2 linked regions of the Lepisosteus oculatus genome follow. The protein of the gene in region 2 purifies or fractionates together with the protein of the main gene of each other region. This does not show direct contact. Links are inferred from orthologs where the notes say so. Each region holds a gene or a part of one and is shown on either strand. Other genes may lie near its edges. The genes, in order: eif3ba and eif3ea.

Evidence for each region.
Region 1: the proteins of eif3ea (region 2) and eif3ba purify together in Homo sapiens (affinity purification with mass spectrometry; 9 studies listed by BioGRID and IntAct, counting the BioPlex papers as one, with this or other methods). This does not show direct contact. The link is inferred for Lepisosteus oculatus from reciprocal best matches to the Homo sapiens genes EIF3E and EIF3B.

The regions. Positions count from the first base shown.
Region 1 is NC_090714.1:9,154,376-9,170,245, forward strand, and holds the start of eif3ba (eukaryotic translation initiation factor 3, subunit Ba), read right to left. Parts: upstream 8,603-15,870; 5' UTR 8,461-8,602; coding exon 8,358-8,460; intron 7,266-8,357; coding exon 7,073-7,265; intron 6,564-7,072; coding exon 6,444-6,563; intron 5,976-6,443; coding exon 5,918-5,975; intron 5,448-5,917; coding exon 5,319-5,447; intron 4,775-5,318; coding exon 4,617-4,774; intron 3,832-4,616; coding exon 3,700-3,831; intron 3,276-3,699; coding exon 3,209-3,275; intron 3,007-3,208; coding exon 2,960-3,006; intron 2,500-2,959; coding exon 2,289-2,499; intron 1,835-2,288; coding exon 1,762-1,834; intron 1,686-1,761; coding exon 1,563-1,685; intron 403-1,562; coding exon 324-402; intron 1-323. Other genes in the region: brat1 (BRCA1-associated ATM activator 1), read left to right, coding at 9,001-9,039, 10,838-10,976, 11,453-11,607, 12,133-12,280, 13,845-14,265, 14,680-14,799, 14,960-15,051, 15,169-15,287.
Region 2 is NC_090705.1:38,864,918-38,880,792, forward strand, and holds the start of eif3ea (eukaryotic translation initiation factor 3 subunit E-A), read right to left. Parts: upstream 7,213-15,875; 5' UTR 7,181-7,212; coding exon 7,091-7,180; intron 3,310-7,090; coding exon 3,192-3,309; intron 2,348-3,191; coding exon 2,230-2,347; intron 1-2,229. UniProt on the Homo sapiens protein: Component of the eukaryotic translation initiation factor 3 (eIF-3) complex, which is required for several steps in the initiation of protein synthesis.

The sequences.
Region 1 (15,870 bases), on a different chromosome or scaffold from region 2:
AAGTCTATGTGGCCAAAAGTAATAATTGTGACAAAAGATATTGCTATGTAATACAGTACAATAATGACAAAAAAAATATTTTTACAGAGATGAAAGATCTAATTTTAACTTCAGATCTTACAAAACACTAATTATTTTGCATTTTAAAGAATTACTTATTTTCTTATTAGGTTATTAGCTTTTGTTACTTGACAAACGCACAATTTAGACTCAAGGTGTCCTAGACTTTTCCTGTGATAAACGAACTCAATGTCACTGGAACATACTTCGTACTACTGTTACTAAGTTTAACAAAAAATGCCACAAAGAACAGAGATACAAACCTCCTAAGTCCAGCCAAGACAAGGAACTGTCCCTGTGGACTCCAGAAAATGCTGTTTGCCTGCTGCTTGTCAAACATTTCTTTAAAAAATAAAAGCCTAAATTAATAATGGGAATATTGGATTCCATCAATGCAGTTATTTTACAACAAATTCCAACCTATAATAAAATATCAAACATCAAAGACTAGCACAGTGTGCTAAAAACATTTACAGAAAATTAATACGATAAACTTAAAATATATGTAAGCTAAGCAAATAAAATAAAAATACGTATATAAGGATTTCATGTACACAGGGCATCATTTTTATGATCTCTTGTCCATGTGAAAAAGTGTATGTTGTTAAAAATAAAAGGCAATTCAAACAAAGCATAGCACATCACTGCAGCTCCATAAGATAAGATAACTTTATAAGTCATATACAATTTCTTGCATTAGGAATTTGTCTTTTCGCATATCCCCACGAGACAAACAGACAGGGAGAGAAGTTTGGGGTCAGAGGGCATGAATAGCCATTTATACGGCGCTACAAGGAGAGAAACTTGGGGTCAGAGCGCAGGGTCAGCCATTTATACAGCACCCCTGGAGCAGCTAGGATTAAGGGCCTTGCTCAGGGACCCAACGGAGTAGGATTCCTCTGCCAGCCACATGAACTGAACTGGCAACCTTCTAGCCACAGGTACAGATCCTTAGCCACAGTGCCACAACAATGCATCTTCAGTCTGCCAATTCAACAATTATGTTGAATTCAAGTTCCCCTCATAGATATGTAGGCATTGGGAAACTCCTTCTGTAGGAGAGATGGACATGCTAATACTGTGATATTGTTCTTTCAAAAGGGAAGCAGTTTGGATTTTCCTAATGCTTCTATATTTTTATAAATTGTTCTACTTGATGACTGTTGATAACTAAATATCACACAATAAAATTCTGTATCCACTATAAAAATAACTTAAATTTTAGAACTGTTGTTCTTGAAGCACTGAAACTTTTTTTTACAGATTTTTAAAACGAATGTTCCCGGTGTATGTTCTCACCAGTTCCTTAATTGGGAATGACCCAATAGAATGTTTCTGCACGTTTTGTTCGAGTGTGTGCATCCTACTCTTTCCACTTATGATTTATTGCCATTAGATGCAAATATTGTACAACTTAAGAACTTCCTACTGTAACAAAATGCTTCAAACAGAAACAAACTTAAACTCATAAATCAAATATGATTAAAAGAAAAGTCACTTACTGATAAGTTCGATCTTGCCATTGTTTTTAACATGGTAAAATGATACGTTTATCCTTGGAGATTCTCCGTGCAGCACAGCAAATTTACTGCCATTGGGCTCCCAGGCAAAAGCAATGATGCTCTCTGCAAAAGCAAAACACATTCAACCATGTCTCTACTTTGAATTCTATAAACACGATAAAGCTGTCCAAATACTCACCCTTCATTTCAACAACATCAACAGGGACTTGCTTTTCTCTCATTCTGAAAATTTCAAAGTTGGTCACAACACCCTACAAATAAAAAAGAAAACATTTGCAGGACTATTTGGCTACAAAAGAAACAGCTTAAATTAGTTTTTAGTACTCTTGTGTAATTAAATACAACTATGGATTTAATAATTTAACAGTAAATAGATCCTTTAACACCTATCTAACAGAAATCTGTCTTAATTCTGAAAAAATCCTGAAATATCCTTCCCACATGCTTTAAAGCATTGTACAAATTAAGGATATTAATTACTAAATTATTATCCCATTTTCTTATGCAAAAAAAGATAAGTCAAATTACTAGATTATATTTGAAGGTTTAACAAGGAACATAGAGAGCAATAAACCTACGATAGTTTGAACATTTAAAACCTCCTCGGTTGTCTTCTTATCCTCCTAGTCAACTGTATTAAACTTGTTTTACAATGAGCTGCAAAAACAATTAAAAGCTCCAGTGGATAAACTCCACTGACTATACCTGGGTTCCCTTGGGAGTTCTGTCTACCTTCACACAAAGGTAATCTCCATTCTTCTGCCAGTGCAGTTTACAATCAACTACATTGAACAGATTTCGAACTCTGATCTCCTGCCTGGATGGCAGCTGCATAAGTGTTACTCTTGCAGGAATATCTTTGTCTTCTGGTACCCAGAATGCAATAATATTGTCACCAGGAGACCATGAGAAATCCCTGGAAAGATATGCAAATAACTTAACACACAACATCACTGACATTATTTCACTTAAAAATAATTACAACCAAAAAACGATGTTTTCACAATTACAACATACAAATGGTGGATAAGATAATGGAAACACCACTTCAAGCTGTATGACTTTATAATATGCAGTCAATTGATCTGATGTCTTCCTCCAAGCTCCATGCTGACAATTTTTTACTTAGCCGCCATTTTCAGTACTAAAGCTCCTGACAAATGTGCCCCAACAATCACGCTTCTTTCAAAGTTACAGATGCGCAATATTATATATGATCCTAAGCATGCTGTGATATTATTGGCTTAACTAATCCATTAACCACAAAGGTGAGGAAGCCCTTGTTTTTAATATCATTATTGTGCCTAATTCATTCCATTTTTACACACTACTTGTAGTATTTTTATTAAAAGGCTTCAATTTTTTCTTGCACTTACTTTATCCCACCAATTTTCAAGCTCTTCTTGTCCAACAACCCCATGGACTAAAGAGGAGGAAAAAAATTACATGATTCAAATGGTTATTACTGTTAAGCTTAAAGTGGAACAATCTAGCATTAGGCAAAGTGAAGTCAAAACTACAAAAATGAATTATATAGTAATATTTGATCTTTGATTATCTTAGTTCAAAAGGTACTGAAGGTCGTTTTGTTCATTCAATGATTAAATCTAAAAAAAGGGACTTACAGGTGTTTCATAGATACTGAGTGTGTCTTGTGTCATTCTGGCAAAGAACTTTCCATCATGGCTCCACCTGAAAATAATTTCATACAAAAAATAAAGATTAAAAAAATATTGATTGAAAACTACCAAAATACTTTAGGTCAAATGCCAAACGGAATATTAGGCATAGTCTTAATTTGCATAAGCCCCCTAGTAGTACTGATAAATCTAAGACATGTAGATTATAACACTACTCTCTGAATGCAAAGACTACAATCCTGTTGACTAACAGCAGTGAAATATATTTATTCTTATATATAAAGGCCTTAATTTAAAAAACAAGTATGAAGGCTCTATCAGTTACACTGTCACTAAAAGTAGGTACAAATGTTAACTTATTTATTTGTCATCTTTAAAATGAATGCTCAAATTCCATTACTAGGGGAAAATAAGGGAAGATAAATAAAGAGGGCAAAAAACTATAATGCACTGCAGCACAAACAAACACAACTCACTTGAAAATTGGCCAGTGGGCTGAGCTCTCACAATGGAAACCCCTCTTCTTCTGCCCAGTCAGAATATCCCAGATGATAATAGCTTGGGGGTCATCTTTTGTGTCCATTAGAGGACTGAATGTAACCATGTACCTGTAATTGAAAACACAATTAAAATCTTTTATGCATATGTGCAGAACAGTTACATAAATTCACATACAAAAACATTTTAAGATCATAGAACCAAAAACGTGAAAACAATCATGTAATAACCAAACAACACACATTTCAATTTAATGCAGTTTCACCTAATGTTTTCACCTGAGGTGGATGCTGCACATTGGTGGTGGTGGAGGGGAGTCCCGATTACCTGTAAAGCGCTTCGAGTGGAGTGTCCAGAAAAGCGCTTTATAAGTGTAAGCAATTATTATTATTGTTTTTAAAGAAGGTGAAGCAGGAAACAAGATGTTACTTTTTTGGCATGTTGTGGTTAGTCTCCAAAGTTCGTTTTGATTCAACTCTGATATATTACTCTACACAAATGAAAATCTTTACTTCCACGTATACAGTTTTCTTTCTACTCCTTTATCCAAAAGATATGTGCAGGCTGAACAAGTTTTTATACGATCCTTGCAGAGAAGGCTTAAAACTGTAGTTTCCTTACACAGCAAACATGCACCACCAAGATTCTTTCCAAAGCTCACAATAAAAACATTTTTATTTTTACGGTCCACCCAGATGTGTAGAACAGCCTCTTTTTGGCTGTAATCTTCTTTGTGATCCTAAAGCATAGCATTAAATTGACATATTTGGGATTTAAAAATGCCTTATGTCCAGCTGTTACCTGTTGGATAAACATTTTAAAAATCCAGAAATAAAAAAATTACTTTAAGAAAAAATCTTGATCACTGTGATAATGATAATGGCAATTCTTTCACCTTTCACATGGTGAGAAGTCAATGAGTTGAACACCCTGATGGCTAAACCTCTGAATCTGCTTGAACTTCTCTCCTCCCCATAAAGCAATACCCCTCTGATGGAATGTAGCCAGATAAGTGCCTTTTGGAGACCAACGAACATAGGTCTCTGTCCAGCGCTGTAGACAACAACAACGAAGAATTATATTCAATTAGATGAATTAAAGACATTTTATTACAGTAAAATGAAACCGATGAACATACATTTCTGTTAGGGATGTGAAAGTACAATATTAGAAGATTGTAGACGTTTTTTTTACATGTTCATTAATGCTGTGCACCACATTAGTGCAAATGCTATCTACATTAAAATGCATCCGAATTGACCTATTTTTGCATATGGAATTCTTATCCTTCTCCACTACTTCTCAGAGTATTTTATTTAAAAATTCCATCTTGGCACAAAACAAACCAAGACTGCCTCTGTGGGTAGACTATTTTACTTATCACATTCAATACTCCAAACTATATTGCCTCCAAAAAAGGTGTCAATGTGAGCATTATATTAATTAAAATGGCCATGTTAAGAACATAAGTACATACACATTAAAAGTTCAGTTCAAGTGGACATGTCTTGGAAGGTCTCCTTTTATGTGACTCTTACTTTATGATGGTCACATGGGCAAAATACAGAGAGTAGTCTTGCCTTTGTAAACTACTTACAGCTCTCTCCTCGATCGTAATTGGTTCCTTGACATCATTGGAGAAAATGCCTGTCCTTTCACCAGCTTCAAAAATCACACTATACTGATCACGGCAGTCAGAATCTTCAAGCCAGTACCGTAGATTCCCCTTAAATTAGAATAATCCAAATTGGACGATCACAAAATTGTTATTAGTCATCAGAACTGATACTTAAATCATCAAATCTTTTTAAATAGATTTAAAAGATGAGATTTGACTGACTTTATGTTTTCCCAAGTGTTTGAAGATGTTAAATTTATGATCTTTAAACTGAACATTAAATAAGCAAACAGAGTTTGCAACAAACTTCACTGCTTTTATAACTTTTTTTACTTTGAGGTCATAAGGCCAGCCACCAAATGTAACAAAATACTTAAATGCTAAAAGAGAAATTAAAATAAAATACTTTTCAGTATAATTTTAATGTTTGTACAATAATTTGCTGGCCTTAATGTGTTAAAATGTGTTAAAGAGGATGGTAGTCTCAAAAGTGCAGCATCACTTACAGATATAACATTTGCAGTGATAACTGTATAGGCAATCCTGAATGATATACACAAATTAGTAATGATACTTACAAAGTCTTTGAATGGCTGTTTTTCAGGGGTTTCCCATTCATCACTGATATTCATGTACCTATACAAAAATAATGCTAATTAAAAAATAGCAACACTAACAATATCAACAAGAGTAGTTCAGGTGGGTAGCTGCGTCTGCATGCGTAGGCTGCAAAGGAACAAGTAATAGGTTTATTCCATGCTGAAAAAAAGAAGAAAGAGAAGAAAGAGAACACAACGTTTCGAAACGTTGTGTTCTCTTTCTTCTTTTTTTCAGCATGGAATAAACCTAATATCAACAAGAGTTTGCAAGTTCACATACTACCTCTAATCAGGTTTCCTATAAATAAATCTCAAAAGAGCATTTACAGAAATGGGGAGATGACTGTTCAGTAATTCTATCCAATCCATAATACCCTTAGTGTTTTTCAATCCCATCTCCAGCAGGTACCCATCTGAACAAACTCCCTTGGATGTATCACTTAGAGGCAAAGAAAAAAGCGGAGACATACAGTACACAGTGTATAAATGAAAATAAATTGCTCACTTGTCGAAGTCTGTAAAGATATTGACTCGGAAGGTGTGCTGTTTGTCCAGCTTGTAGCCATCTGCATTTTTCACTGCTTCCAGAGCATGAGCTGGCGATGCATACTCCAGAAAAATGTACCTAAACACAAGTGTTACACAAGAGAAATACAATGAAGCACAACTACCTACAAACTTCCCCAGAAGACATGATTTACTTTTAATATAGTCTTACACAACAACAAATCAATAATAGATGTTTGCCTTCAAAATAATTTGTAAGAGCTGTATTATTCCTCAAAGCAAGTTCTTAATAGCTAATAACCTGGATATAAATCTAGAACATACCTGAGTTTAACTTCAAGTCCAAATAACTTTTAATAGCATGAATAACAAAAAACAATCTATACGTAGAATAATTAATCTATATATAATTAATAACTATACCATTATATTAAAATAACTTATTTTGCATACATAAATAATTGCACAGCAGTAGTACACACATTCAGTAGAACCAGACTAAATACAATGAAAATAAAGTTATAAATGCATTAATGAGAATAAATCAATGAGTGTACATACATATTCATGTAGTAAATGTTGAATGCAATTTTTTAAAGAGCAAAATGATAAATATGCAATACAAACCCTTTTGTCTTTCCTTCAGCTTCTGGATAAAACTCATTTGTAATCTTGCCAAATCTTGAGAAAATTTTATGTATGACATTTTTCAATTTCTCTAAGCGCTCTGGTCCAACTTGAGGAACGTTGTCAACCACAATAACCGAGTCAATACCGTCCGCCTCTTGGGGCCTCTCCCTCAGAATATCAGCCAACAGTTCTGAAAAACAGGCAGAAATACAGTTCCAAGAGCAGTACATCAGTTATCAGTAAAGCCCAACTACAGTTAGTTATTTTTGAGTACACACCCACAAAATGCGAGATCCATGTTTTATTGTAGACAGCATCATCTGTACTTTAACACAGCAGCAGGCTTAATATTTTTTATTTCAGTAATTAAGTTGAACTATAAACGTAATATAGTTCGGCGGTTTATAAAAACACAGTGACATTACTTCCGTTCACAGTTCAATGAGCATACAGTGCTTTTACCAATGCAATTTCAGTAACGATAGATGAGCGCTGCTTATCTTTCATTATAAATATGTAACTAACATCCACTTTTACACCAGATTGGTGTAATTTCGTCATTTTACTCAATTTAATTTTAATTATACATTTCAGTTTAAAAAGTTCCTTAATAACATGTTGGAGTAAAAAACTCCAAAATATTGGTAACACTTCAGAACATTATAAAATAGTCAGGATTGCGTTAAATAAACCTGTACATTATCTGTCCGGTAAAGATCAACTACAGGTCGAAAAGCGACTCATTTGCCTATAACGAACATATTGGAATACCGTTACAGAAACTTGCAACGAAATATAAATGTACAATAGACAGCCACCTGAAAAGACATTTCTACACCTTTTAAATATAAGAATAATACATTTAATTTGAAAATTAAAAAAACCGTAGTAACTCTAATTTACTCTATATATACACCTTGCTGCATACTCAACACTGAATTACTGAGGTCTTTGTTACTATACGACCGAACATTCAATCTATAACGTTAGTGTTACTTAAGAATGTGTTACTCGTGTCCTTAAACTGGTTGCTTTCTTATCATTTTTAACTTATACATCCAGCTGCGACATGCTCGCTTCGTCAATGACTCCACAACCGGGCAGAAACTGTTAAAAATTGAGTGCCTTGAACGGAAATGCACGATTTAGTGCCTTTATTTTTAGGCCGCGAGTTGTACCATCGTTACATTTAACAGTAAGAAAGCTTATTAAATAGCGCTTATTTTTATTTGAGTTATTCCAACCAGGCCGCAAAGCCGGGTGCTTTCCTCCGCTCGATTACCCTGTTCACTGATGTCATCCACAAAATCCTCTGGGTCACTGAAGGATAGCTCTTCACCCTCTTCAAACTCGGCTTCGGCCGCCATGTTCTCCGTATCCCGCATTTAAAGCTTTACCCTTTCAATAGATTTATGGAAAATTAATATGACCAGCTTTTCTATCAAATAATCTAGATATTTGCTCAGCAGGCCATGTGCACGACAACCGGCGCGAGCCAACTTCCAGTGAAAAGGGACTCAACCTTTTCGGAGGGATGGGGGTAAGGATTAACAGGTAGTGTTTTCTAAACACGTAAAACGAAAACACCTATCAAAACCTCGATCTTATAATATAATAGAAATGACAATTTTATTATAATATTTCTAGCATATACTGAAGGTGAAAAAATTGAATACTCTATTAAATATTTCCCCTCACACAATTTGGTTCGTTCTAAAAATGGATGCCTCCAGATTATTTCCTGTTACAGGAGGAAGTGCTTGAGAAATGTAAGAAGGGTTGGGCTTTTCACAAATCCCAAATTCGGAGATTTTATTGATTGTGATGTGTTAGTCATCGTAAATTATGTTAAACTGAGAAACGTTTAAATGTAGAATCTCTATATTTGTTTTATTGTAGAAGTCTGTAACTATCTTTGATTGTTTATGATTAGTAAGGACAGAAGAGCACGTGGTAAAATGAATGTGTGTTGTGTACTTTAATTTTCTCTTTAATTTTTGTGAATTCTTATTCTTAACCAAAGTAAAGTTGTAGCTACACGTGACTTAAACACTAGATTGGGATCCCACCCTTCACTTTTCAGACGTTAACGACAATTTTTCGTTGAACGTATATCTACGCCTCGGCGTTCATCTTTGTGTTTGCCACAATAAGATAAGGAAGCTGCAAACTCCGGTATTGTTAAACCCGTTGTGTTTTAATGCGCATAATTACTTTACTGACCCAAATAATCGCATGTTACTGTACAGAGGAAAATAGCAAATGACATTTTATTAGGTCCCTGTTATGTTTAGAATTTGTATTAGTTTTCGATGCGTTTACTTCTAACTCTAAATGGGAAAATAATTCTTATGGCACAGGCATCATCTTACTAATTACTACTATTTACTTAATGAAAAATTGTGATTACTAATAATTCAAGAAATTAGGTTAAAATTAATATTATAGCAAATTGTCATTTAGATCCCTCAATTCAAAACCTGAAGGTGCTTAAATTCTTATAAGACTCAATTAAGATTATGTGTTCTGAATTTAGATGATTTATAGGAACACGTAAAGGTTTGTTCAATGCTGAAAAGAGAAGAAAAGAAACAACGTTTCGGCTGTAGCTCCTTTTTCAGGTGTGAGAGAGGAAAATCGGCAGTTGATAAAGCACAGGAGAACAAAAGCTGCAGAGGAGGTGGGAGCAGGAGAGAAGCAGAGTGGACACTCAGGTGGTTTGAAATTAAGAGAGGTGAACAGAGGTGTGAAGTCAAAACCTGCAGATGAATACAGAGGATTAGAAGGAAACAAGTCTGTCAATGAGAAAAGGGGGAAGGTGTGATCCTAGTTTCAGAATAATTTTGGTTTTGGATGCAATAGGAGATCCGAACCCCCTCTTTGAGAACAAAGATGGAAAGATCAGTATGATCATGGCTGTTAGCGATGAAATGGGAAACTGTGGGCTTGGAGAGATCTTTGATCCTCACAGCCCTGACATGTTCCCTGAAATGGTCTCTCAGTCTCCTTCCTGTTTCACCAGTGTAAATAGCTGGGCATTTTCTTTAAGAGATGCAGTAAATAAATTTGTTGGAGATACAAGATGTCATCTGAGTGATCCAGAATTGTCCAGATGGGCCTTGAATGTGCATGGTATTGGATATATATTTTCAGGTGATGCAGCGAGTTCTGTTGCAGGGGAAGGTTCTTGGTGTGGATGATTGCTGACTGCGGTCAAGAGAGCAGTATACTATAAGGTTAGATTAGGTAGTTGGCAATATGAGATGGCGGGGCGTTTTACGAAAAAATGAGTGCCAGTGGAGGGATCATCCTTTAAGATGTGGAAGTTGTCATTAATGGTCCTGGGGATAGAAAGGGTGTTAAGGTGGTTGGGAAGCACCACGGGAATGTGGTTGTGAAGCCGGGAACTCCTAATTGAGTTGATGGTCTGAGGGCTATTTTTGGCTCTGGGAAGGGCCCTGTCAATAATATGGGTGGAGTATCCTCTGTTAATGAAAAAATTGTGCATTTTAAGGGCTTGGTTTTGGAAGTCAGTGTCACTGCAAAGTTGTCAGAACCTGAGAAGCTGTGAAAAGGGGACAGAATTTTTAGTATGTGTGGGCTGAAATGAGCTGTACAGAAGGTAGCTGTATGAGTTTGTAATAGAAGTAGAGATGATTTATATCTGTTATTTTGGGGGAAGTGCACATTATTTAATTGAAAACTTACTAATTAACTTGTATGTTGTTAATGAGAATATTAAAACTTGTTTTCGGATTCCAGATAACCAAAACAATGGATAGTGAATGTGCAGAGCTGCTACCTCTTGTCTGTACAGTTCTTGTTAATCCAAAGCAGTCACTCCCTGATGATACCTGCTTTGAGAAGCTGCTGGACTGGTTTAAAGACCTAACAAAAAAGGGTGAGCTATTGAAACAGACTGAAAGCTGTAATTTTCAAAGGGACTATAATATTCACACTCAATTATACAGTTAAGGGTTTTTTTAAAGGAAACTGAGAGATCAATAAATGTGCACCACTAGAGAAGATTCTCAGACAATCCTCAGTGGAACAATTCAGGTGTTGAACACTTTAATGTGTTAATTAGGTTTAGTCAGCCTAATACTAAACTAGATTGTGACATATTGGTCACGTTTGCAAAGTACAGCTGGCATGAAAAGGGAATATTGATGGCTACTTAATTTGCCAAGTTAGGTACGGTGCACTTACTGGCTTTGAAGCTGCTGGTATTGGCTATTCAGTAACACTAGTAAGTCTAGTTTTAAACACACTAAGATGGAGGTATTATTTTAAGCATAGGTAGTGAATTCATCTTCAGTTATACTTCATTTTTAAAAGTTGAATATATAATATTATGCTTTATTTCTTCTTTTTTAGTATCTGGGGCATCTTTGCTGCAGCACAATCCATGTTTAACTGAATTGATATCCAGTGTGTGTAAATTGAAGACAAATGAACCCACTGTTCTCTCCTTTGTACTGAGACTGGTTGGGATCTTAGCTGCTACTGAAGAGGGATTTTGCTTTTTAGAGGTAAATTGATCAAAGCCACTCTTGAAGTTTTCTTTACATACAATTCCTGGAAGTGTGCTACAGGAAAATTATTTCATACCTAATATATTTCATTTGGTAGCTTTTAACTTTGTGTTCTAAAAGTTTAGCCTATAAAAAACCTTTTTGCTGGCAATATAGCTCTTACAAAGTATTGTAGATAAAATGTAAGACATAATCATCATTTTGGAAGAGGAACTGACTGTGTTCTGCTAACTTTACATACAGCTGTGTTTTTTCAGATTGGAGCAGCTCTAGCAGGAATATTTAAACAGAATATGATATAACTTTTAAATTATAAACTTTTCAGATACTGGCTTTTCAATCTCTCCTGTTTCTCTTGTTGCTTGATTGCCACATGAAAAAGAAACAATGCCTGAAATAAGTAGGCTGAATCTCAGTGCTCAGGGGTTAGTGTTGGCAGTCTTCATTGGAGATATCATAATTAGGATGCTTGAAATGTAGAAATTGAATAGCCTGAATTGTGAAAACTTTTGTCATCTTCAGGAACAGGACATTTTGCACAGTCTCTTTGGAAACCCAGGCCTGACCCACACAGAGCTGTGGGATGAGGCAATAGTGCGCAGTGGGTGGATCAATGGATTATGGAGCATGCTCCAGCACTGGAGGGTTATGCATTTCATCATAATGAACGGTGGGAATTGCACATAGTAATGCACATAAAATTAATTTAACTTTAAATGTAACCATTTTACTCTTTCCCCAATATGTCATTTTACAGCTCCTTTCCTATGAACTTGAAACATCCGAATAATGAAGACATTGTACTCTGTCCAAATGATCAAGTCTGCCATCCAATGACCATTTGTCTCCAAACTAAATATTGGGAAAGCTATGAAATGACATAATTAAATAGGATTGCATAGCAGTGTCTTTTTAATTTAATCATAAGACACCTTTTTAAAAATAATTTTAATTCATACATGCAGATTTTTAAGGTGATAAAATGCAGAATTGAGAATTTTCTGCTAATTTAAATTTGTAGGGAGGGTGTGTGTTTTATTCTAAAATTGTGATGTATTTCAGCATTTTTACATAGACAAAAATGCAGACCTAAAAAAGGTCTGTTAGTTCAGTCAGAGATCTAATAATAATAATAATAATAATAATAATTGCTTTTACTTATATAGCGCTTTTCTGGACACTCCACTCAAAGCGCTTTACAGGTAATGGGGACTCCCCTCCACCACCACCAATCTTGAAGAATTTCTAAAAAATGGAGACCTTAATCCTTTCAAAGTTGAAAATTAATTTAGCCACTGATTAAGAGCTTGCTGGAACGAAAGCCAGAAGGTGGATCCCTCACAAGAAAGACTTAGACTTAGAACCACTTCTCTATCCTCTGTCCAAACTTACAACAGACACAGTTACTCTCTGAGATCCTTTTCTAATCCTCTCTAAGTGTAGACTGTAGATCTCCCCTGAACTCTGGTCACTAACAATATCTAGGATTGTGTGTTTAATTAAATGTGAGCCTTCATTTGGTTCACTTTTTGGGGCAGTGCAGTGGCTCTGTGGCTAAGGATCTGCGCCTGTGGCTAGAAGGTTGCCAGTTCAAATCCCACAGCCGGCAGAAGAATCCTACTCCGTTGGGCCCCTGAGCAAGGCCCTTAACCTCAACTGCTCCAGGGGTGCCGAACAATGGCAGACCCTGCGCTCTGACCTCAAGCTTCTCTCCCTGTCTGTGTGTCTCATGGAGAGCAAGCTGGGGTATTCGAAAAGATAATTCCTAATGCAAGACATTGTAAAGGGTTAATAAAGTGATGTTATTATATATTATTATTATTTTCTTCTGGGGATCCCCTTGAGACTTATTAATTAAGGGGTTTGAGAAAGTTCAAGTAGGTAGCTGCATCAGCATGTATGGGCTGCAATGAAACAAGTAAAAAGTTTATTTCATGCTGAAAAGAGAAGAAATGAAACGTTTCGCCTTCGGAAGAAAACTCCACTTGTTTCATTATGGTGTTTGGTTTGTGAAGTTTTCACATGATATAAGGCCCTCTTGTGTCACTAACTGGTACCGTGCTTTTCTTTTGATTTTATATTACAAATTGTATAATTAGACAAAGAAATAAGCTAGCTTTGAAAAATAAAATCAGTTACAATGGCAAATGCCTTATATGTCAAATGTTGAGGGTCTGCCTCCCAAACCTAATTCAGTACTTATTTTGCACTTTGGATTGTTCTTTTTTTCACAGATTTTACTAAAATGATCCTGAATTTACAAATAGACAGAAGCCTCTTTGTTGCTTCAGCAGCTAATCAGCTTTTGGCTCACATTTTAAACTTCCCAAAGAAAGTACCTGCACATTCATCTTCAGACAACAGTGATATTTGGCAGAACTCTGTGGCCTGTGAATGTAACACCTATGCTGAACAAACTGAATGGGCTAACTGCAGCATTAAAATTGCACAACATTTGGGAGATGCACTGCATTCTGACATCTCCTTCCACACCCATCAGTCCTTAAGGCTCCTGACTTTGGCTCTGGTACACTGCCAGCCGCAGGTCATGGAAGTACTCTGGCAGAAGACGGAGGCTGCTATTAAGACACGGATGGGAAATGGCCAGATCGTGATGGAACAGCCATTCTTGGAAGTCCTTCTAACTGCATCAAGGTTATTAAACATTCTTTGTCTTCAATTCATTTTTTAAAAATATTATTTTTAAACTGGTTATATCAGAATAGAAAAGAGGGGAGGAAGTGTGCCAATATCCTTGAAGGCCTGGTTTGAATGCATTGTGAGAGGGTACATTGCATTGTTTAAAACAGGGCTAGTTTTTCATTTCTTTCAGTAAAGGAAAAAATTACCTTATTTTTATTTATAGTGTTATGTCTTGTGCCTCATTATGGGAATAAAAAATGATATTTGTATTTTCAGTTATTTTACTGTTGGTTTCTGCTTTTTTTTCCTTGTGTAAAGGGTTAATTTTCTGCACTACATTCTAGTCTTGTAATGAGCTCTGGAGAAGGTTATTTTTTCAGTTGTTAATTTATGAGTGTAATTTGAAGTTTTTAAACTGGTTTTCAGGACTGCTCTCTTGAACAAAGAGGACTCCAACTTGGTAAATCTGATGGATCTGATGCTGTGTACTCTGAACCCCACACAAGCTATTCCCTTTGCTTTAGGAATATTCAAATTAGAAAACTGGTAAGCATGTACTTCAGGACTTAAGTAGACTTAGTGCTTAAAGCTTTAGAGACCTTTTCTTTTTTGCTTGTTTGTTTTTTGTTTTAAAAAGTATCTGATCAAAGTAACAGTTGTTTTGCTTTCTGCAAACAAATATGTTATTCAGACAATTGTATTGCAGCCCACATATTTTGAGGAGCAAGGCCATTCAAGTAATCCTCCAGCCACTAGACTGTATTATGGCTGCAATAGATGAACAACAACAGTCTTCAGGTATTTTCAACACAGTAAAAAAGCTGCACTTTGTTGCATAATCATAATTTCATTTTACTTCAGTACCAGCATATTAGGAATTTAACAATCATTGTCACTTTTTTTTCCTCTTAAAAGTTTTGGAGGGTGGATTTGTTCTTGAAAAATTGGCTACAAAGAAGCAGCTGTCCCAGAAAGGATCCTGTTCATCTTTACTTTGCCTTTCATTGTACCACACGGAAGAGCTGTTATGCATGGTAAGTTACTTCTACTGCTTTAAAGCAGTTATTTTATTTGTGACATATGTTTTCTTGGAATAAATAAATTATTGGTGTGTTACTGTGATGTTTCCATCCTACCTTTTTGAAATCTTGTAAAATATGAACAGAAACTTTTTTTGTGTGTGCTTCCGAATAGCTCAACTGGTAAAAATACCAGTATAGAGGTATTGAGCCACATTAGCTAACTCTGCCTATACCCTAAGGCAGTGGTTCTCAAACTTTTTGGACCACCCCTGATCAAACCAAAGCATTCAAGTACCACCTACAAGTCATCTTCTCATAGGAACCACAGAAATCTGAATGACCAATATGAGCACGTGCGCACACACACTCACACACACACACATATAATAGAAATAGCACTGAGCACATAGATAATTTGGATTGTACCACCTTATAGCCGTTTTCCGACACTTGCTAACATTAGCAGTGCTGTCAGTATCAGGTTCAGCAGCAGAGCTACAGTGCCTTGCGAAAGTATTCGGCCCCCTTGAACTTTTCAACCTTTTGCCACATTTCAGGCTTCAAACATAAAGATATAAATTTTTTATTTTATGTG
Region 2 (15,875 bases):
TGTCCAATCCTGATCATGGAAACTCCAATCTAGTACAGTTCACAGGTAACCCTACGCCTGTCGATTAGCAACAACTGCAAGTCACTTGATCTTAATATATATTAAAAATGACAACTTTCATTTCTGAGGGATGAAGTCTCAATTACTATTACTTAAAATACCTTAATTTCCAAATGACTGAATTCCACAAATCACCTGTTTAATTGCTCTCAACATGTTTAGATGTTTTTTTTTTTAGAATGAAGATGTAACCCAAAGCAGTACTGTAAAATCTGCTTTCTAGCAGGGTTTGAATTCCTCGAAACTGAAGAGTACTGTCCCAACAACTGAACCAAATCCTGTGTTTGTCCAACTAGGTCTCAAAAATAATTGCAGAGTGCTAGAATCATATACAAGATTACATACAAAAATGAAGTGAATACAATTTGCTAACTATAACATAGGTCATACAAAAAAAAAAAAAGAAGACATTAACCAACACCAAAAAAATGTGAATTTATCCTGGATCTAGTTTATGATGAAAAAATATCTTGGACAAATCTTATAGCTTCAGGCCAAGAATCCAAACAAATGCTGAAGGTTAAATCTAACCAAAATATTTTAATCATGGTGCTGTCTGGAAGGACTAAATAGCTTCAGTAAACAACAGTAACCACAACTTTTTTTTTTAGTCACAATTTGCAGATAGTAACAGTGACCCATTCAATGAAACTGAAAAGAAAGGCTAATGTGCAAAACAATTTATTTTCAAAGTAACATTCCTATTTAATTGACCAAATACTTAGATTTCACCCCATTCATCAGCATTCACAAAATTCTATAAAGTAAAAAACGCTCTTTATGATTACTACCAATGCAAAAACAATCTGTTGTATATTAACAGTTGAGTGAAATCTTAAGAAGGGTTTGTTTGGGTGTGAAGTCTTACTAGGAAATATCTACCCAAATGAGGAAAGCAACTGTAAAAACAGGCTGTGGCTATAAATGTTTAAGAACAAATCCCCCGGAACATACATGAATTTATATATATATATTAAGGTCTCAATAGTCTTAACTAGCCCAATTCGCATATAATCAACTCCTCCACTGTACTGTCACATAATGTATACAGTACATAGAATACATACTTAAAAGATAAGTAACACTACCTATATAATAAAGTACTAATGCAGTCTTTAAGTTAATTTAAACCAATCAGCTAAAAAACAACAGTAACCACAAGCTTATAGTAATCAGTGATAATATTATCATGAATTCTCGCATCCAGCAGATTCCTGCACTTTTTCTCTCCGTCTCTGTGATCAGCACGCCCCACTGTAATGAAAAGGGCAATAAAACTGGAAGAGAGCCTCTAAAGTCCTCGCCAGCCTTTGTCATTCCCCGTTACAACAGAAAAACAAGACCGCGCGGAGATGAGGACCCCGAGTAGGAAGTGCCTGGGGGGCCGCAGGCAGGGGCTCCCTCACTTGCTACTGTAGATTCGTCTCGCCACCCTCGGCTGTCGTGCCGCCAAGTTGAAAGTTCAAAGTTAAACAAACCTTCGGCTCGGTTTCATCCCACTCTGCTCTTCTCTCATCACAGACTCTGCTGGCCAGACCAAACCGCGAATAGGCAAATGCAAGAATGCTGAATTCACGGCATTCTACATTTTGTTGTATTTTATCAAGGATGAACTTTTTATTACTAAGAAACGTAAAATATTCACAAACCGCAGCGACTGGGTTTAATCGTCACGTTCTCACATCAGCCACCCATCTATAATGATTCATATTCTTCTGCTTCAAAGTGTTGCAAACTAGCTATACCAACATTCTACCATTAAATACATTGTAGTGATGATCATTATGCTTACATTTTACACCTTCAAGAGACCATGTGTCATTCTCGGTAAAATGCCCATTGTCCACTTGAAAGCATATTAACTCTTGTTTTTAATCACCGCAATCTTTACTTCCTATGTTTTATCGCTGTTGCTAATCAGAATGGTAATGTTAACAAAGCAAGTCAAATTGCTAAATTACTTTAACGCTGAAGTTAAGGATGTAAGACATAATATCAGGTAACTAATGCAAGGTGACTGAACCTAACGCATTGTGTCTAGAAAACATGTCTTGTGGGTCATGGCTGGAGTATCTTGTACTTAATCATACCATTAAGTAAGAGGCAAGCTGGGACAGATTTGCGAATATATAACATCAGGTTAGTCAGCTTACACGTAAGCAGCCTTACCTTGTGGACTGCATCTGCCTGGTGGTTTCTGGATCTTCAAACATTTTCACAATGGGCTCTGTTTCAGACTGCAGTTGCTTCAGTTGCGCCACAACTGTAGTTCTCTTCTCCCTCAAGGCTAAAAATCAAGAGGTGGGAAAAGATGAGAAGGAAAGGGGAAATTTGGCACAATGTGCTTTGGATTTATACGCTTTCCTTTTCAAAAAAGTCAAAACCATCCCATTAAGAAGCTGGACATAATCAGGTAGGGGCTGGTTTGCAACAGTAAATACGCACTCTGGGCATCTTGTGTGAATATTAGTGCCTCTTCTAACAGTTTTCTCATAAAATTACTAAAATAAGATGACGATTTAACGATTTGCAATAATTTTGTAAGTTTTGGGAATCCTTACGTAATGACTGTCAATGCAAAATTATATCAATTATATCAATTACGATTGTAATTACTACAGTAAAACTAACTTCGCATGATAATATTCCCCTACAGACATTTCTATAATGAACACCTACTTTCAAAACTAACAGTTCCTATTGTTCGTATGCCAGATTACAGCTGAAAGAATTAGGCATGAGATTGCTTTAAATTCTGTTGTCAACGGGCATGCAGCATCTTTCCTCTGTTTTTCTCAAGGTCAGAGAACAGGACCGGAAAAAAAACCCCACTAAAATGGTGACATGCTTTATACTCCTCTCGGGCGAGTTCTCTGTCTCCTTTGCAAACACTTGGAAAGTATTCTGCAGCAGGATTCCGATTTGTAATTGAGTACTGTTCAGCACAAATGTTCAAACATCTCTGATAATGTTCCATACAAATTTCCAGGAATACACAAGGCAAAAGCTGGAATTTAATGTAATTACTGTGTGGCTGAAGGACACACCAATTCACAGAAAACACTTTAGGCTTGGACGCAAGCCCTGAACTGCTTGCAATGCTAAGTGCAAATCGATGACAAGGTGCTCACAGTGGGGAATCTCCTTGTCAGGGTACAGGTTTTTGTAAACATCCATGGCGAAGTCCACCATGTTGGTGTCACTGAGCAGGTCCAGCTTTCCTTGCAGAAGTTCCTTCTCATTGTAAATCTGTAAAAGAAAAACAATAATCCAGATGAAAAAAAAATTACAGGACACACCACTAAGGATCCCCAGACGGACCGCAAACGAAATGCAATGATTCGCTTCAGCTAGTTCTTTGATTTTGGGGGTAGATGTTTTTTCTGCTCTCAGTCCTTGAAAATTCTTTGATTTAAAGCTGTACTAATTGTTTTTCTGTATATTTCCATGAAAATACGTCTTAACATTTATTTCACGAGTCCAGATTGAAACTAACAAAAGTTAAAAAGTATAAAGCCCTCAACTTACATGAGTTTGGCTCCAGAAACTGTTGCCTAAGTCAAATTTAACACATTTCAGTCTTGTGAAATAAGAACGCAAGTTTAAAAATGCAAAAAAAGTCATAAAAATACAAGATTATTTTATACTTTAATCGTGTTATGGTGCTAAACTATTTTATGCACTCTTTAGTTCACAGACAACTGGCTCTGTGAGAGGCAGGCCAGATCCAAGAAAACAGGGGTCACCAGGAAGAAATAACCCGTGCACAAGCAGAACAGCTGCAGTTTACTATCTGCATGGAAATTATCTGCTTCTTTGGAGGCCATTCTGGGGTAACATGCTGACATTTGAGTAACAAAATCGCCATCTTCTGTGGATCACAGATGATCTAAGGTGGCAGCAGAGTGTGTTAAAGCAGTGTACTCAAAAATGAAGATTCCAACCTTGATCAACCTGCTGGAAGATAAAGTATAGGGATGTAGTATTACTGTTCCAACTGCTTGGAACCAATTGGTGGAAAAGTGGATGTGTGCAAAAAAAAGATAACATTGCTTTATTTGTCATATACAATTTCTTGCATTAGGAATTTGTCTTTTCAAGGGGTAGAGAAGCTTGGATTCAGAACGCAAGGTCAGCCATTTATACGGCGCCCCTGCTTCTGCCTCCTCAGAAACCTTTCTAGCACACATGGTAGACACCCAAATGTCCATTTTCAGGCTTGGCTGGCATGCCATGACCTCCCCACTCTGACCAGTGTCTGTATTCAACTGGGATTGGCTAGACACATCCTAGAAAAGTACTGCAGCAAATGAGAAAATGAAAAGGATGTTCACTCTTCTCTAAGCGTTTGGTAGATTGAGCATTCCAGACATATGTAACAAAGGACACCAACATGCTGTTTTTCACAATAAAGGAGAACTTCTGGATCAATATATTCTGTGGTCTAATCACTTAATCCAGAAGTACCAGGAACTAATGTTTTTATTTGCTGATTGCTTAAATCAGCAGTTCTTGAACCTGGTCCTGAAGAACCTCTGTCTCTGCTAGCTTTTGTTCCAGCCCTTAATCACCAGTGCTAATTACAGCCAGTAATTGATCTGCTTGGTGGTTTAGGCTTTTCTGCAGTCAGGCCTTGGTTTAGAAAATACCCTAGTACAGTGGTTCTCAGTCCAAGTTCCGGGTAACTCCCCCCTCTTCTGGTTTTTATTCCAGCAAAGTGCTTAACCACGAGCATTTTATTTCATTTTTTATTGGAGTTTTTTTTTTTATTTGCTTTCAGCTGTTGAAAAGTTGAATGAGATTTCTTATTGGGATGACTGTTTGAATTAGCTATCTAAATTGTAAATTTAACTTAAACTGGCCTTATTTTTGGTGTGGTAGCTAAAATACAGTCTGATTTTTCACCATTAAACCTTAGAAAGCAGAAAATCACCCTAAGAGTTTATTTAACACTGCATCAGAGCGACACTAATAGTGTCATTCTTACCTGTGTCTGTTCAACATGAAATGTATCACCTCTTAAGGGCTGTTCAGTCATAAATAAAGGCAGCAAATTCTCAGAAAGTAAGCTGAAGAGAAACTGCATGAAGTTCTGAAGTTACTGGAAATAATGCACTTAACTTGAGTATTTCAGCAACCAAAAATCCTACAAAGCCCAGAAGGGGGGTTAAGAGGCATTGTTTTTGAATGATTCAAAACACATTTAGGTCTCAACAAAATATCTGCACCAGTATTTAGAGATGGCATGTAACTTAAATGCAGTTTTGCTAACTGTTGGTTCTCCCTCCCCAGTCACATAATGAATGGATGAAGTGTTTAACGCAATGCAGTACATTTATGCATCCTTCATCCTTCAAATTATGCATCCTTCATTTTACCAAGTTAGTCACATGCGAGAACAAACTGTCCTGTGGAACATCTTGGGGAGTATATATTTACACAAGAGGACATTTACTGGGGCAAACAGAGTTAAGTACATTGCATTAGGGTACAACAGAAGTAACCTAGCTGGAATTTGAACCCACAACTCATTCTCTCTAGTGGGGAGTCCAGAGCCCAAAACACAACTCTACAGTGGTTAGATAGATTATTGGCCAAGTAAGTTTTCACTTACAAGGAATTTGACTCTGTGAGTCACTCATACACTATACACATACAAACATACCATATATACATAGACACATAAAACACGATACACATTTAAGCAATTTAAGATTACTATGTGTGGTATCAGAACATTTCAGCTCCATGGCCAAACGTTGCGTTTTCTTTCTTCTCTTTTCAGCATGGAATAAACCTATTACCTGTTCCCAAGATTACCGTGATAACAGGAGGGGAATGAGCCACCGCAATCCTCAGATCTATGGTCAGTTCTCGTGACGTCAAAAAAGTGTGGCATTACCCCCAAAAGATAAAACTGTCACGCAAATGTCTTAGTTTAAAAACCTAAATCATTGTGACTTAACAACATATAAGTCTGAAAAGCCTGTGCTTCGGAGCTCGCACAGTAAACAAGACAACCGTTTAGAGCATCAGTCTGGAGATAAAGACCTTCCTATTATCAGAATAATCAGAATTCTGACTGGTCTTACAGGGACTACTCTCGGTTTCCAGCATTAAATTGTATACACATTTTACTGTCCAAGAACAACATATCTTTTAATCAGCACTGTTTAGGGATCACCTTTAACACTACAAGGTAACGAGATTCGGAAAATAAAAGGGCAAGCACGAGTACAATGATATACAATGCACCACACATCACAGCATTAGAAACGCACAAGGGTCGATTTTAATGAATCAAGGAAGAGAGGTGCACTAGTTATTTACGTTAGTTTCACGGGGTAAAAGGCATTGCATTTAGCCAGTGTGATCAGCGACTAAGGGTGCGGCAATAATTCAAAGTGAACATGCTTTATCAATACGCAAGGCGAAATTCACTGCAACATGACGTCGCTTTCTGAAATAGAAAACTACTGTGGTCTTTACCGAATATACCCAGGCACCTCCCTGAGATTTGTAGCCAGTTCACAGCCTTATTATACGTAGAACAAGAGCAACACAGAAACCGGCTTCTTTAATTCAGCGAAATTAAATGTTTATTAGCTAGGCTTAGGTGAAATATCATACGACACTCTGTTGCATTGTTTGTTATAAAACAAATATTTACTTTGTTAAAACAGCGGTATAAAATGTAAAGTGTAAAACCTTTTTGATAAGTCCGGTAAGCAGGCTGCAGAACTATTACCAAAAAACAATTGTGATTTTAAAAAATCCAATGGGATATCCCGAAAGCTTGGTCTTTTAATCATTTATATAGAGTGTTCCACAATATTTCTTGACTACCTGCTTTTTTACAATTAAGTCGAAAGATCTATAACGTATTTAGAGGCCTAGTCCCATAGCCGGCTCCATTGAATAGATAGGCAACACTACACGTGGCTTTTAATGTGCTTTACCGCAACATTTCTCAAAGCGAAAAGAACAAGCGGTAACAAAAAACGATAGGACTGTACAAAAACGTAAATACCTCTTTAACAGACAAGAATTCCAGCAAAGGGAACACCAAATGGCGATCCAAAAAATGCGCGATCTTGGTGGTCAGATCGTACTCCGCCATCTTTGCAGCAGAAAGGAAGGGGATTCAAAAAAGAAAAGCTTTATTAGCACCGTCGCAGAGACAAAGGTACAAGTTAGGTTGCGCAACAGTTATCTCTAACACAGCATATGTGCAATAACTAAAATTAGCCAAATAATCAGGGTTTTCACAATTTGTGGTTTATAAAACATGTCGCCCCAGCTTTCTACCGTATATTTAAATAGGCATTTACATCTAACTTAATGTATAAGTTAGTAGCTAATTGGTTCAAGACTCTCACCCAAGCTGTTACTTGAAAGAAACTGAAGTACAGTATTGGCATTAGCAACATGGCTGGGTAAATAGTTCTATACTCCCACATCTTCTATACTATCCAGATTAATTTTCAAACTAAAATTTGGGATTCTGTTACAGTTGTTCTGGCACGTATCTTGATGTCACCGCAAGACAATATTAGATCTAAAGAAGATTCATCTAATCAATTATTTTCAGCTTATTTTAAAGTCTTCCATAACTTGAAAGCAATAAACCTTTGAGAACCTGCTTAACAAAACAAGAAAAAAATGAAACCACACAATCCAGTTCTGTTTTTAACTTCATAAATCAACAAGCAGTCAAAATAGCAATGACAGATTAGTTTTACCCTGCTGTTTTACTGGGGACTTCAGGGTAAACATGTTTTAACTGTTGAAAAAAAGAAGAAAGAGAACACAACGTTTCGGCCGTGGAGCCTTCTTCAGGTGTTGAGGTCAACACCTGAAGAAGGCTCCACGGCCGAAACGTTGTGTTCTCTTTCTTCTTTTTTTCAGCATGGAATAAACCTATTACTTGTTCCTTTGCAGCCTACGCATGCTGACGCAGCTACCCACCATGTTTTAACTGTTGCTCTTGCTGTTATATGGTTTTTCATTTCACCTGGAAACTGCCGTTATATCAGGGTATTCAGCAAAATATACTGATGGAAAAAAGAAACGCAACATTTTCTGAATTGAGAATACTATAGTCATAGCTGATGTTCTTTCACAAACTGTTGTCAACTTGTTTTAAGCCCTCTGACCAGCAATACAGCTTGTGCAGTGAGGCACTGTAACTTGCCAATCACACGAAAGCTCGTTAGGTGCACTTTTACCCAACGAGGTCCAGGTGGAACAATGCCTGAAAGTCCTTAATTCAAAGCTTAGGTCACTGCAAGAAAAAGGCCAGACAGTTTTCTGTGCATCCCATAGTGCCTCGAATGTCACCAGAATCAAGGGAGAGGGCCATTGGCATGCTGCAGGCAGCCATGTCATGTGCCAGCATTGCCAGACACTATGGAGTGAGCTGCTCCACTGTGTCCCAACTGCAGAGAAGGTTTCAGCAGACCGGCAGGACAGATGACCGTCCAAGATCCGGTCGCCCTCAAGTGACCACACCAGAGCAGGACCGACATATCAGACTGGTCCACCTGAGAGATCGTTTCAGATCTGTCGCCCGTACTGCTGCTGAAACTGCCAGCAGACACAATGCCCGCATCAGTGACAGGACAGTGAGGCTCCATGCTGCTGGCCTTAGAGCAAGGTGACCTGTCAGAGGCCCTCTGCTCACACCTCCTAGACGTCACACCGACCGGCTTGGGCCAGACAGAGGCTGCGACGGACTCGTCAGCAGAGGCATCAGGTCCTCTTCACAGATGAGTCACTCTTCAGCCTGTTCCACGCAGAGGGGAGGGCCAGAGTGTGGAGGAGGGGGTGTTGCGTTTCTTTTTTCCATCAGTATATATACAGTACTTTAATGATAGGACTTATGTAAGACAAATCTGAGCAAAATTAAAAATCCAATAATGGTATCATTATTGAAGCACAGTGCTTCAAAACAGGTCTGTGTAATTGCCTTATGTTTGTAATAAACGTTTATGCAAATATTCAGTATATCCATCCATGGAAATTGCTGAGTCATCTTGTATTTTCAGATTTTATATATTTTTGTGGTTTATATTGAATCGATCTATAATTATTTCGTTATTGGACTTCTTTTACGTGGCTCCCATAAAAGGCGATTGCCTGGCATGTCTAATTATACAAGTAATAGGTTTATTCCATGCTGAAAAAAAGAAGAAGAAAGAGAACACAACGTTTCGGCTGTGGAGCCTTCTTCAGGTGTGAGCTAATTATATACAGTATAATTTACACAATATCATACACCAGCCATCACTATCAATATCAATATGTTATCAATACCTGGTATTGGCCAGAGGAAGCCTCAGGCTGCTGCTATGTACAGGACATATTCATTCCATTTGTTTTTAAAGCGGAGGACATTCGTGGCCCCTGTAAAATTGACTTCCACATCCTGTAGACTGTTTAATTGTTTTATGTTGTCCTGCATTTTCTCCAGATGAAGAACAAGACAATATTCTTTCAAATAGAATGGAAATTAATATGAGTAATGTATTTCAAAAGGTATTTCTTGTTAATTGCCCTGCATCGTGGAAAAAAAAATGCAGTGCAGTTGTACTTGAAGTCTGTTTTGCCTTTGATTTTGCTACATTTTTTTAAAAGAGATTACAAAGAGCGACATTAAAAAAACAAAGGTTTTGAGCTAGTAAAAGTAAATTCTGAGGACAGTCTGTTTCTTTTATAAGTTGTGTAACTTGTGAGGGTGCGTGTATTTCCTGATAACATAACTCAGGTTACTTTTCAATCGAGTTGATCAAATTTTATTTTCACCTTTTCGCAGTGAGCATCATCTCAAAGCACTTTGCAGAGAGTCAGATTACCGCAGGGGATAATAAACGTACAGGAGAATAGGCATGTGGAAAGTACAATCAAGAATACCATTTCCAAGAACTAAATTATGTGAAACTAACAAATGATAGACACTGTATCCAGTTCCAAGAACTTCACATTTTTAAAAATTTACGCGAAGCATTGTCAATTTACAAGAAGCAAAACATCCACAATGCAAAAAAGCTGTAAAGGTTATATCCAATACAAAACCTGTTGCGATCTGAAAGGCACCTGCATATTCTTCTTTGTGTACAAAACTAACAGTATTATAGTGGCATTTTATACAGTTCTTGGTTGCTTTCTCCTTCACGTTTTCTTTTCTATTCTTAGCAAAGGTTTCTGAGCAGCTACACACCAGTTTAGCCTATTTTGAACTAGTGTGTATGTGACTATTGTTGAAGAAATGTCAACAGCTGTACTTACAATTGGGCTACCTGGTGTGACACGTGTCACACAGACATCCTATCACACAGTATCACAGTATCCCTTTCATGAGTCCCCTCTGTGTCTTACACACAGCATTAGATGAAACGTGAAGCTGTGATCTGTCAAGCTTTGATTTTCATCCTCCTTCAAGGCGAGATTTCCTTCCCAGCTGCCATAATGCCTGTTTGGACCTCTAAAATGGAATCATTAGGCAGCATGGTGGTGCAGTGATTGGTATTGCTGCCTTGTAGCTCTGGGGACCGGGGTTTAATTACTGGGTGCTATCTGTACAGTCTCCCTGTGCTCATGTGGGTTTCCTTTCAAAGATATCCCTTTTTTTTGCAAATATAAATGTTATTACAACCATGACATATATATATATACAAAGTTATTTGAATGCAGTACAATGATTTCAAGACTTCTTGATAACAGATTGGCCATTAGAGATGCGAAAACGCTCCTTCTTGGCCTTGCAAGTCCTTCACCCTTTCTGTTCACGATTTACATTTCCAATAATTGTTGGCTGGGGGACACGGTAACCCCCTGTTGTGTCCACTTGGCTCCAGCCTGACTCTTAAACTGTGAATGTCCAATCGTTCACACATACCATTTCAGATAGACTGGTGTGTTGGTGAAGTCCTTAGCCTTTGTGAAAAGCCCCCAGTCCTGTCCATGTTCCTTCTCTGTGGAGAAGCCCTTGCCTGCAAATGTCCCTCCTCAGATCCGCAAGGACTTTCTCCTCCATTTCTTGACGCCCTCTCCACGTTGTGTAGTACTGAAGAATTCCTTTCATTCCCAAAGGCAAACTCGTGGGCTCATTGGCTTCTGGGAAAATCGGCCCTGGTGTGAATGTGAGTGTGTGCAGGATTGCGTCTCCCTGTCTGCCCTGTGATGGACTGGTGTCCCATGCAGGCTGTCTCCAGCCTTGTGCCAAGTGCATACCTGGATAGACTCTGGCTCCCCCACAACCTTGTAGTGGATAAAGCTGTTCTGAAATGGCTGGATTTAATCATAGTCTACATTAATGTGGTGGGCCTTGTGAAACATTGAGGATTTTTCAGGAGGGTCAGCTGACAACATGTTAGTATAATACAATATTATGACATTCAATTTTTGCACAAAAGCTAAATTAAAAATGAATTAAAATACAATATGTACTAACAGTAGGTGTAAGAACTTATAAGAACATATAAGAACATATTTGTATGTATGACTCAGTAGTTAAAGGAGGTAGCTGTGTCAGCAGGCGTAGGCTGCAAAGGAACAAGTAAAGGTTTATTCCATGCTGAAAAGAGAAGAAAAGAAACATTTCGGCTGTGTAGCCTTCTTTCGGTGTTTCGTTTCTTCTCTTTTCAGCATGGAATAAACCTTTACTTGCTCCTTTGTATTACTTATAAAGTTAAATGTAATTTTACCTAAGTTTATAAAATATAAGAAAATGTAGTCTCTTGTAAAACTTTTATATGCCAGTTTAAGACCGTCCTTTTGCCCATGTGAACACAGACCAGTGTTTTATCCAACAGCTGCTTTGGAAAGCTGCCCATGTGCCGGCCGTACTGACCCTCAGAGAGCCGATGTCAGCTACCAAAAGGTCCGTTTCTAACAGGTTCCACCAGCCCCAGTTTTCGTGAGAACCCCACGGCACCATCCTCTCCGCTTGCTGTCCTGAAACTGAAACAGTCTCAGCCTTGTCATTATGAAATTGCGCATCTGACTTCAGGTAGACGTGAGTCATATACACTCACAAGTCAGCTAGGAGTTTTCTGTTTCACTGAGTTACAACACAGCGCGCTTTGGCTGCTCGTCGGTGTGCCGTCACACTTGGTGACAGGAAAACCCATACAACCCTGGAGACAGGAGCTGAAGTCCACATTGTTTCTTTAGTGTTGTATTGCAGAGTCATAAAAATGTTAAATCAGGGGCCAGAACAGCTGCTTCTTTCTCTCTTTAATTTGATTGGATTTTGATTCTTTAACTTTCTGCATTGAACCTCAGTGATGCTTTTCTTTATTTCCTTTGGCATTACCACGGTAATGTACTGGGGATGACTGAAACTTGGTAATTTTGCTACCAGTTATAAAAACATTTTCCCAAAAAACCTAAAAGTTCAATTTAAGGCAACCATAACTTTACACCCACTTTACTTTGGTAGGAATACATAATATTCAGCATCCTTCATGCATCCTTCACTTCACATACTGCCTGAACCATAATGAGAGTAAGGCATGTTTGCTAACCAATGATTATAGTAAAATAAGCTATATTACTGCAATTCTTAACTACACACATCCACCAGAGTTTCATGTTTACCTTATTTTCTTAAAGGTTTTCAAACAGTATTGTGTAAGTCCTGTGTGCAAATGACAAGGATATACTGTAGCAGTGACGAATGATTAAACAAAAACATAAGCTAATACTGACAGCTTTATCCTGACATTCATTTACCCAGACATTTCATATCTTAGTATATTGGTACTTCTGCCTCTTAAACAAGAACACTAATATGCCAAACTATGAAAATCCTCCATCAGCTGAGTTGATTGAGTTGAGTTTGTTGAGTTGGTCATGTCATTCAAATATCAGAATCCAGGATCAGACCAAAAAAGCTTTTCGTCTCCCCACTTTGCCAAGAAATCAGAGGAGGCCAGAGGAATCATTTCAACCATATGACAGAAGTAAACATAAAGAAATACAACATCGCTATCAGTTCTTCAAAGACCGATAGCTTTGATTGGAGTAGATGGAAAGGATGCCAGCACTTTCAGGCCAGTGATATCAGAATGAGGAAGCAAAATGAGAGAGCTGAAGTACACATCAGACCACAGTACACAACCTGATATCTCCGAGGACAACTTGTTCAACTTGTCAGACAGATGCCCTGTTGGCCTTATCAGACAGCTTTGGATAAACTGACAATAATCTTTCTCAACCACAAGGGATAGCCAATGTAATCTTCTTAATTTTCAGGTTTTGTCTCTATTTATGATTATCTACAGTATATGGAATTATTCATCTGTATAACTAAAACTGTCAATATGATTCTGTGAATAGTTTTTTTATATACAGTATTTTTCAGTTTTTCAAAAATGTAAGAAGAGAGCATATTAGTTCTGCCCAGGTTTCAATACATAGCATTTCACCAATGTACTTCATACTTTGCTCTCCATAGGCTGTCTGCTGGAAGGCTTTGGATAACAGGTTTAGTTGTGTTTCCAATAATTGTGTTCAGAGATTAAATACATGAGAACATCAGAGTTAGACCTATTAGTGTACATTCTGTTTTCTTATATTTAGTTTTATACACAGAGGCAGGTTAATATACTGTACTAACCAATGCACCAAATTACAGTGCAGATGGTTAAATGTACTGATATTACATGCTTACCTTAGCTACTTTGAAGTAACTTTTACCCATTTGTATAATTTGCCCATTTATAATGGCACACCATTAACTTTTAACCCATAGCTATGAGACTGTTTTCAGAAGTCACATAGCATGTATCCATGCCTCAACGCCTGGATGTTCATCTGCCTGCAGATGTCCCACTTCTGAAACATTCACAATAAAAAAAAGATTCAGCTGTTGTTATTGAGGGTTTCTTTGTGTTCAATCAGCTGGTGTTTCAGTCTCTTGGAAAAAAACAATGAGCATGTCATCCATACCTACTCTGCATGGGAATATCAAATTATTGATCATCTTTTTATTATACACACAGTGACTAAGAACATCATGTTACATTAAACTTAATTTACTAGTGATCTTTAGGGATGTATTTCCTTTTTAAGTATTCATATGATGGTTATATCATATTTCTCCAGAGGATTTAATTTTCCCTTATTTTATAGTAATTTCGTTTTTCATATTCCTCACAAGTTTAATAGAACATTAACATTAACATTCAACAATATATAATAAAAATCGCGATCGTTTTTCCTGTTATATATTTGTTTTACTTTTAAAATGGAATCAAACATTCGACAGATAGCAGGTTTCCCTTTTAACTTTGCTTTTTTATATAAAGTAAGACAAAACACAACAGCCTCAAATTGGCAGAACATGTTGGAAAGAGTAATATTAAAGCTTAACAAAATGCAGCCAATAAATATATTACAGCCATAGGTTGAACACCGCAACTCAATCCTAATTGACAAAGAATCTTGTATTTGAAATCCTGATTTGGAGGCCAAATTGCTTTGGGTTTCTCCTATTTCAACCAGCCAATCATTTTTAATGATGGAACTCCTGGGATCAGATTGTAGGAAAATCCACATACAGGAATACATTTTTCCTACAACACAGAAAGCTTTATTTTCTTAAAAAGCAAAAAAAAAAGAAGTTTTTTTTTTACTTTTAATTGAATTTCACTTTGAAATTCTGGAGGTAACAAAGATGTCTTTCAATGAAACTGTCATTACGATGCGCAATGTAATTTTACATTTCTGGGGAAAAAATCATACAGTGCTTAAGTCTTTCTTGTTTACTCTTGAAGAATGTTAAAATGTTGTCTGCCATTATCTAGGGTTTCTAAATAAATAAAATATTTAACTTTCTCTATATAGTCAATAATATGTTGAATATAAAATGATATATTTAATAAAAATGTCAGACTGTATTTATGAAACCATATCAGAAGTCCCAATAATATTTTAAGATTTTAATGAATGTTTTTTAAAACCCTATATTCCACCTTTCCATGGAATTTCTATAACATTGACAGCATATTTTCCATATAAATGAAACCCACAAATCCTGAATGAGTCACACTTGCTAGCTGTCTTATATATCACAACTGTTTGTAAATGTATAAAATCAGGGTGGACAGTAAATTCAGTGTGTTTTCCCTTAGCTGTTCATTTTAGGAACATCTCACTGTATTTGATGAATATAAGTAAGAAAGAAGAACAATCTAGAACCTGTTAAGAAATGTAAATGTATATTCTAAATGTAAATTTTCAGTGCAGTGTAGTGTTGAGGCTTTTCCTCGAGTACATAAATAAAGAGTGATTCTTAGATAGCAGGTGGTAGGAATTCAAGGAAATGTTTAGATTATGAATTGGTTAATGGATAGAGAGCAGAGAGCTCAGACAATGAGAGAAAGTTCAAACTGGGGTGATGTAATTAGCAGAGTAACATGGGGGATGTACTATATTACTGCTACTTCTCTTCCAGATCTATATTTTATTTCCCAGTGCTCTAGATTCTGGTATAGTTAGTGAACTAATTAAGTTTACGAAAACTGTGGAAGCAGCGTATTATATTAAACTAGATTTAGAAAGTATTTTTAGTGGTGAAACAAATCTCCAGGGTGTTTGGATGCAGGTAGGGTAGTTAAATCTAAACCATAAAATTAAAAAATGCTGAGCTTGAAAAGGTTACTTATGAAAAGGGTTTTTTGTCATTGATTTTGACACATTATTTACATCTTCTAGATAGTGCGGGTTGACAATTAAAAGGCAAAATAAAATGTTAGACTATATAGTTAAACGTGTAGATTGCAAGGAATGTTGTGTTAAAATCGTCAAAG